2 separate regions of the Mus musculus genome follow, and region 2 is reported to be linked to region 1. Evidence: microRNA targets listed by miRTarBase, many of them from high-throughput screens and not tested one by one. Region 1 holds a microRNA gene; the other region holds the end of a gene's coding sequence.

The links. The annotated mature microRNA mmu-miR-451a reads AAACCGUUACCAUUACUGAGUU and lies in region 1 at 1,672-1,693, opposite strand. An mRNA with a match to its seed (bases 2 to 7 or 8) in the 3' UTR can be bound and repressed. Matches are read on the target gene's strand: a 7mer-m8 pairs with bases 2 to 8, a 7mer-A1 pairs with bases 2 to 7 and ends in A, and an 8mer does both.
Region 2: miRTarBase lists Abhd17b as a target of mmu-miR-451a. Seed matches in the 3' UTR shown: 7mer-m8 at 1,155-1,161.

What each region holds. Positions count from the first base shown.
Region 1 is chr11:78,070,490-78,074,878 of GRCm38, reverse strand. Mir451a (microRNA 451a) reads right to left here and starts at 1,709; the gene lies at 1,638-1,709. It overlaps Eral1 (Era (G-protein)-like 1 (E. coli)), which reads left to right. Exons shown (of 10, transcript NM_022313.2): 8 at 252-401; 9 at 519-599; 10 at 705-1,503. The coding sequence ends at 827. Mir144 (microRNA 144) reads right to left here and starts at 1,874; the gene lies at 1,809-1,874. It overlaps Mir451b (microRNA 451b), which reads left to right and starts at 1,638; the gene lies at 1,638-1,709.
Region 2 is chr19:21,683,612-21,688,000 of GRCm38, forward strand. Abhd17b (abhydrolase domain containing 17B) reads left to right here. Exons shown (of 4, transcript NM_146096.3): 4 at 487-2,026. The coding sequence ends at 706. Among named protein-coding and RNA genes, the nearest start is that of Abhd17b, 32 kb to the left of the region's middle.

The sequences.
Region 1 (4,389 bases):
AGGAAGATTGGAGGCTCATTCCCAGCCTGGACAAACGAGGATGGACAAGGCCAGCTTGATCTGCCTGAGATGCTCTCTTAAAGGTGTTTCAGTCAGTTGTGGCAGCTCGCCCCTGTAGTCAGCTACTATGTAGTAATTTTAAGGTCAGCTTGGGCTACATGAGGATGGGTCATAGCCTTTTCCTCCTAGAAGCATGCATAAACAAATGTTCTGATGGGGGTTAAGAACCTACTCTTCCTTTGTTCCCACAGCAATACCTTCTGACACAGGCCCAGCCAGGACCCTGGGAGTTCCACAGTGGTGTGCTCACTAGCCAGACACCCGAAGAGATCTGTGCCAATAAAATCAGAGAGAAGCTCTTAGAGTACCTGCCTGAGGAGGTGCCCTACGGTGTGCAGCAGGTGTGGGCAGAGGAAAAGGACACAGTGCCTGTATACCAGGCACACCCCTGGAACAGTTGGGTACCAAGAGATACAGAGATGAGCCTGCCTGATTAGTCCTGATGTCTCCTTATACAGAAGACAGTGATATGGGAGGAAGGACCAAGTGGAGAGCTAGTGATCCAACAGAACCTTCTGGTGCCCAAAGAATCTCATGTGGTAAGTGAGGGATGCTCAGAGAAGGGTAGCAGTGTTACCCATGGCCTCTTCCCCATCTGTGAGGCCAAGAGCAGAACCATGTGCCTCTCTTTTCACTACTTGCAGAGGATCCTGATTGGTCAGAAGGGCCTCTTGATCTCCCAGATTGCACAGGAGGTGGGCCGGGACCTCATGGACATCTTCCACTGTGACGTTCTCATCCGCCTCTCTGTGAAACTCCTCAAATGACCATCCTCTGTTGCTTCTCCCAGTGGATCCCTGCTCAAGCTGCTGGCAGAGTCACTGACTAGAACTACCCCTGTCAGAGGGGTCTACAGGACTGGGAAGGGCCATGGACACTGACTGGTTTCCATTGTGAGGGACCCATAGCTACAGCTGCATATGTAGCAGAGGATGGCCTAGTCGGTCGGTCATCAATGGGAGGAGAGGCCCTTGGTCCTGTGAAGGTCCTGTGCCAGCCAGCCTGGCATTGCCGAGTCTGCACAGTGCTTGCCCAACCATGTTTCCACTTAGCTCAGTTCTCGGGGCGTTCCTCTGCCTAGGGTCTCAGTCAGTTGTATAGGATACATGCTGAACCACACCCTAGAACCCATGGTTCTAAGTCATGTCCACCCCGCTAGCATTGGAACCAAACTCTTGCCCTGAGTTTCCAGTTGTTGGTAGGAACACAATTTTTCTCTTCTCCCCCAAGTTCCTCACCTTGAAGTTGCATAAGGACCCGTGTTTCCTTTTTCTTTTATTATTATTATTATTTTTTTTTTTGAGACCGGGTTCTTACCCTACAACTCTGACTGGCTGGCTATCTCTACATAGATCAGGCTAGCTTTAAACTCACAAAGGTCCTCCCATCCCATCCAACCACCCAGCCTCGGATGCTAATAAAGTTAAATGACAAGTGCTCTTATTCTTATCTTTTATTTCTTTGGCACAGTGAAGAGGAAAATGTACCCTTTCCCCCAACCCCATTCTCTTGTCAGCCTGGGTGTCCTTTTCTTCCAGCAGTCTGCTCCAGGGTCATGAGCTCTTCTTGGCACAGTTTGTGGGAGCAGCAAGAGAACCGTTACCATTACTAAACTCAGTAATGGTAACGGTTTCCTCGCCATTCCCAAGTGCCACAGCTGTCAGCAGGCTTGATTAGGCCGAGCAGTGAGCCCGTGTACTTCTGCATCTCTGCTGCAAACCAGGCAGGCTCTGGAGGTGGGGTACCCAGACTAGTACATCATCTATACTGTAGTGTCTCATCACAAACTTACAGTATATGATGATATCCCAGCCAAGGTCCTGGAGGAGGAGGTGAGCAGCAGGCCTGGAGTGAGCCAGGGGATTGGCTCAGGGTCAGTCAGGGACACCTAAGTCCCTACCTCTGCTCCTCCACTTCCCTCCCAGAGCAGCATCTCCCTGATCCTGTGGTCCAGGATAACCCCAGGTGGCTTAGAGAAGGAAGCTAAGGTCTACTCGGGTCTCTTAGGGATCCAGAGTTACAGGCAGAAACGAAGTTGTGAGGCAGGAGCTTCCCTCTGGGCAGACCTATAAGCAGGCTGACAGCCACTCCAAGGACTGCTTACCTGGAGCTGGAGTGGAGCTGGAGCCTCGTCCAGGGAATCCTCTGCACAGGGAGAGCCTGCCTTGTCTCTTCTCACTCAAGCAGCTTGGCTTTTAACCCTCTGGCCCCTCCCCTGGGTGGGGCACGTTTTCCCGGGTTCTAGAAGTCCCTGCTTCTTAACTCTTTGCCTGCTGGCTTCCTGAGACAAGCTGAGGCTTGGCTCCCTTTTTGTTTATCTTCTGCTTAGTTTCCTGTGCTGGGAATGAAACTGAAGGCTGAAGATGCTAGCCAAGAACCCCAACACTGACACTACACCGCCACCCTGCCTCCCGTCTTCTAAGTGGGTGACCATTCACCCCCAACCCCACAAAGAAGGTTACCTGCCTACCCCACTGGGCTAGGAAAGAGAAAGACCCTCACCACGTCCTTCAGGGCTTAGTTGTTCGGGCCTCGCTGAAAGGTCCCAGTTTGTTGTGGGTGATGATGGGAATGTTAGTTGAATCTGAATAGGACAGGGAGGTCCTGGCAACTGGACCTAGATGGAATCTATCTGGGAGCAGGCTCCATGTACCCTCAGCCTGACTCCATCCCTAGGCTTTGACTCTGTTTGAGCTGGGTGGGCAGAGCTGAAGCTTGCAAGCCACCTCTGGCAAGGTCCGTGGACAAGTGGGCCTCTGCTGGGAAGCTGAGGAGCACCTCAGCCCCCAGGCCTTGTGGGAGCCAGTGTAAGGGCCGGGGCATTTCATCAGAGCTCAAGACACAATGAGAGCCTGATATGTTTGGGTCTCTCCCTGTGGAGAAGCAGAAACTTGTGCTGAGACACTCCCCACAGCTGAGCCTCTGCTATTTAGACCCTCATTCTGGGGGATGTTCCGCCCCCTTTCTTATCCTAGACAGTCTGGTCTGTTTCTTCCTTTGAGGGTGGGGGGTGAGGGGTGGTGAATGGGAGTGGGAGGAGAGACCTAACCTTCGGTTCTGTGGAGGTGTCTATTTCCAGCATTGCTCCACCTCTGCCATGCCTGATCTCCCCTCACCTAGTTAGCACTGTCAGGTCCCTAAGTGTCCCTGCCACAGGGACGCTTCTCTATCTATTCACTCTTTAATTTATTTATTTATTTTTTTTGGTTTGGTTTTTCCAGACAGGGTTTCTCTGTATAGCCCTGGCTGTCCTGGAACTCACTTTGTAGACCAGGCTGGCCTCGAACTCAGAAATCCGCCTGCCTCTGCCTCCCGAGTGCTAGGATTAAAGGCGTGCGCCACCACGCCCGGCCTTTAATTTTCTTTAAAGACACATCTTATGTAGGTATGAGTGACAGTGCTTTTATTATTGTTTCTTTGTTTTGTCCTGAGAAAGGATCTCACTGTGTATCCCTGGATGGCCTGGAACTTTGTATGTAGCCCAGGCTGGCCTGGAACTTAGAGATCTGGCAGCCTCTGCCTCCTGAGTGCTTGGGTTAGAGGTGTGCAATATCTTGCCATGGTCTCCTTTTATTACTGAAACAGAATCTCATGTGGCCTCACATTCTATTTTCCTTTGTTTGTGAAGATGGGCTTTCTCTGTAGACTTGTGTCCTGAAACTATAAACCAGGCTGGCCTTGAACTCACAGAGATCTGCCTGCCTCTGCCTCTGATTGCTGGGGGTAAAGGCCTGTGCTATCACCACCTGCTCAAATTCCATTTGTAACTGAGGATGGCACTGAACTTCTGAGCTTCCTGTGTCTGATTACTGAGTGCAAGGGCTGCAGGCCTTCACCACTATGCCAGGTTTCTTCAGTGCTGAGAATGGACCCAGAGCCTTACGGCTGTGAGCAAGCATTGGAACAACTCCACTGCACCTCCGCCCTCTGCCCCTCTTTTCACTTTCTGTTTTGGGTTGCTCAGGCTGACATTGAAGCTAACTGTATAGTTTAGGCAGCCCTTGATTTTTTTTTAATCCTCCTGCCTCAAGCCTCCCAAGTAACTGGCATTACAGGCCTTTGCCAGCAGGCTGACTTGCATAAAGTGCTTTTACAAGGCACAGATGCTAGCCACTGGAGTTCAAATAAGCGAAGGCCCAAGTCTGCTCTGCTACCCACAGAGGACCACAGGGAAGGCAGGCTTCTGTTAGGCATCTGAAATTCTGTCTTTCTCTGTCTCCCCTCCTTCCCTCCCTTTTCCCATCCCTCCCTCTTGCTTGCTTGCTTGCTTTCGTATGTGTCTGAGTTTGGCCAGGAATTTCCTGTATAACTTGATCCTGCTTTCACATG
Region 2 (4,389 bases), not on the chromosome of region 1:
TGATTGGCATTGTGTTTTTACCTGTCTTACTAATATAATAGCTATTTCATAGACTCATCCGATTTGTAGCTTCAAACTATTTTTTATGTTTTCCTCTCTGTTTTTAACCTTAAACCAGAACAAACCCAAAGGATTTTGCTTGAGTTTTAATAACTGATAGAATAAAATAAGTGCAGTAGGGAATGAAGTTAGCCCAGGCAGGCATGGTCCTTGGGTTAAGAAGCCTAGGGGAAATTCAGCATCGAGGCAGCGCTTCCATGTAAGGGTGGCAGTGTCCAAGCAGAGCAACTGTGCAGAGGTAACTTCCTGCAGCACCGTAGAGGTCATGGAAAGGATGGACGGCCTTTGGATCTTACTGAAGTTGACTTCCATCCCTAAAGCTGAGTTACTGTACAGTTCTAATGTTTGAATTTTCTGTTCTAACACAGGAAACTTCCTTTTTTCTACAGTTCATTGAGCTTTTTTCCTTTCTCTTATTCTCTCTAGCATTGACAAAATCTCTAAGATAACCTCTCCAGTATTAATAATTCACGGGACTGAAGATGAAGTCATTGACTTTTCCCATGGCCTCGCATTGTTTGAGCGCTGCCAAAGACCTGTGGAGCCCCTGTGGGTTGAAGGGGCAGGACACAATGACGTGGAGCTTTATGGACAATACCTTGAGAGGTTAAAACAGTTCGTGTCACAGGAACTGGTAAATTTGTAAACTACTCTGTAAATTTGCAGACTGGGTTTTCTTTTCTTGCTGAACTGCACTCCTTGGTAAATAACATAAAACCTGAAGGTTTTGTTTACAAATCATGTAAGTTGCCTTCATAACTGTACAGGTAATGATTTGTTAACAGACTTAATGAAGGTTTTAATTACCATAACTTGAAACTGGAAATAGCAGTATCATGCAGTCAGGCTGTGTAATTTATATTTTTTCTGTGAATTTTTTTTAAACATCAAGATGAGTACTGTATGAAATTTTAATTCTATAAAATCAAATGCTGTAAAAGTATTGTCAAATGCTTTTGCATATCAAAAGCAAATTTATAAATATTTTTAAACATCTCAATGTACTAAATATCCTGGTATACAAATGTAATATTCTTTCAAAAAGCTGTATATCTAAAGCAATTCAAGTACTCAGAATAAACTGTAAAAAACAAAACGGTTTGAAAACATCCAAATTGAGTTGATATATACTCCACTGTACAGGGATAGAGGCTTAAATGGTTATTTTATTGTTAAAAAAAATGCATTGACTTTTCTGTATTCTCCAATTATAGTACATTTATCCTTTAAAAAAATGAAGTCTTAATTTTTATGCCATCTGTTAACTTAGCAGCTCTTCATCCTGTCACTGAGAAGTCCTGATGGCGCTGGATTTTAACTAGTTCTGACTTATGTTTGGTACTGTGAGACAACTACTTAACATTTTCATTCAGTTATTTAAAGGACAGTTAGGGCTTCAAGAATGATTTTGTATGCAATGTTGTTTTAAATTTGACTAATTATTAGAACTGTAGTAGTCTTCCTTATATGAATACTTGAAACTCCGTTAGTTGATCTTCAAGACCACAGAGAGACTGGCTGTTTGGTTCCTTTCCACCTCTGCTGTTTTTAAGAGTAGGGCCTGTTCTTTTGGAGTAGTATCTGAGAATGTCATGGGTTCCCTCCTGAATGCAGGGGATAAGAAAACATGCCATACATTTTATATTAACCAGTATAGTAAAAAAAATAAAATAAATAAATAAAGCTCACACACAAAAACTAAGTTGCCTTTCCTTGAATGAATCCTGCCTGAAAAATGAAAGAAAAATAAAAAATAAACTAATGGTATATAGTCTTAATTTGTAATGAATGAGAATCAAAATAATACACACTGTGGATATGTTTTTAAGGCCTTATGTAATTTTAATTGTTCTGCTTGTTCTGTGGTTATGTCTAAGATTATAGTACACGATCTTCAAAGTATATCAAATATTGTGAATCCTTTGGTTCAGCTATGTCAAATTCACAGTAAAACAACAAATGTACCACTCGGCTGTGCTTGTGTGCCTTCTTCTGAACTCCTCACCCCCACAGAAAGAGGAAAAGTCACAACACCTTCCTGAAGTTTTCTGTATCTTTAAAATTTTGTTTTAACATTCTAAGTATACATTTAAGAAGGTTGCTTTGATATTTCCACATATGTGAATGGCTGTAGCCTTCTGTTTTCCACCACCTTCCAGGTCTCTTAACAGTAAGAATCCTGCATTGGTTTGGTTTGGTTTGGTTTGGTTTGGTTTGTTGGGTGATTGGCTGGTTTGATTTTTTTGAGACAGGGTCTCACTATGTAGGCCTGGCTATCCTGAAACTTGCTATTTGGAACAGGCTGACCTTGAATTCACAGAGGTGTGCCTGGCTCTGCCTCCCGAGTGCTGGGGTCGAAGGTGTACACCACCACACTCGTCTTCAGTATTCTACTTATAGATCAACTGTTTTAGATTCTGTGTGGAAAAGAAAACATCATGCTTATCATTCTATACCTGGCTTATTTACTTAACATAATCATCTTTAATTTCATTCATCTTATTGCATATGGCAGGATTTCATTCCTTAAAGTAATGCTCTGTTGTGGTTGTGTGACACATTTCACTTGTTCACTAATCTGCTTGTTACCATACTAATTATTTAATTGGCCAGAGCCTGGGCTCTGACATTTTCAAGAAGCCAATTAAACAGTAGTAAAAAGTAAGTCAAAAACAGAGGTCCACAGAGCCCTCTTTCCAGGTCCATCTTTGGAGTCCTGACATTAGGTTTAAGTAGAGGGCGAGGATATGCATAGCTAAATAGTGCCCGTTAAAGAGTAGTCCAGCCCACCACTGTCTCAGCTCCTGTCTCTCTAACTGTGGCCAGAGGTAAGGTCAGAGCTTGTTCCCTAGCAGCCCTAACAAGCCAGGCTTGGCATACATCTTTAATAAGCCCATTAAAAGATCCAGATTAACAGTGAAAAGCAGAGGCAGGTGGTGGTGGCACACGCCTTTAATCCCTACACTTAGAAGGCAGAGGCATGTGGATCTCTGAGTTTGAGGCCAGTCTGGTCTAAAAAAATATACTTTCAAGGACAGCCAGGGTACACAGAAACCCTGTCTCAAAAAAACAAAAACAGACAAAACAGTAAAAAGCAAATTTACTCAGTGTGGTCATACATCTGATTTTTACTATTGTTTCCTGTGTTTAGGGTCCTATCCAAATAGCCATTGCGGTTACCAGTTTCTCAACTATTTCATTTTTATTTTCCCTGGAGTTTGAGAGTGTCAGCTCTTTGATTTAGGCCCTTGATCCACCTTGAGTCTGTTTTGCATAGAATAGAAGAGAGGAGCCTCTTGCCATCCAGCTTCCTGGTACTGTTTATTGAAGAGGCTGCCCTTTCTCCTGGGCATGTTTGTGGTGCTTTTGGTGAGAATGAGCTCGCTGTGAGGTGTGTGTGTGTGTGTGTGTGTGTGTGTGTGTGTGTGTGTGTGTGTGTGTGTTTCTGTCTGTCTCCATTGATAGAGGGGCTGCTTTAGGCTGATAGCATGTCAGGTTTGGTTGGTAGTGCTCTGACACACCTTGCTTTGGTCATTTTGCCCAAGATCGCTATTTGGAGGCTTTTGTGCTTCCATGTGAACTTCAGCATTGTTTTTTCTAGTTCTTAGTTCTGTGAAGAATAACAATACTGATATTTTGATGGGGGTTGTGTCCAAATAGAGATCACTTTAAGAAACGTGGACTTTTTTAAACAATGTTGAGTCAGTGACTATGGAAGGTATTTGCATTTTACTTTCTGTGTCTAATATTTCTTATCAGTGTTCTGTAATTATTACAGAGGGCTTCTTTGCTTAAGTTTTATGTCATTTTCTTTTGTTATAGTTGTTGTAAGACTGCTTTCATTATTTTAGCAGATTTCTTTTTGTTATTATTTTATCTTTTCTTGTTTTTCAAGACAGGGTTTCTCTGTGTAGTCCTGGCTGTCCTGGAACTCACTCTGTAGACCAGGCTGGCCTCGAACTCACAGATCTGCCTGCTTCTGCCTTTCTAGGGCTGGGACTAAAGGCATTAGCTGATTTTTGTACTGATATATAGAAAAGCTATTAATTTTGTATCCTACAATATTGAATTTGTTCTTTATAGAGTCTTAGGTTTTTCTAAATACTGCATCATCTGCACAATGGAATAATTTTATTTCCTTCCTATTTGTATGCTTTTTGTGTTCCTGTGTGGTTTGTCTAATCAGATCTCTTTGTGAGGAGGAACTGTGTCCATGGATGCCTCTTGTTGCTGTTGATTCTGCTCTCAGCTTTTCCCCACTCACTGTGACCCTGACTCTGGCTTTGTCATATGTACTTGTTAGGTTAAGGTGGCTTTTCTGAGTTTGTT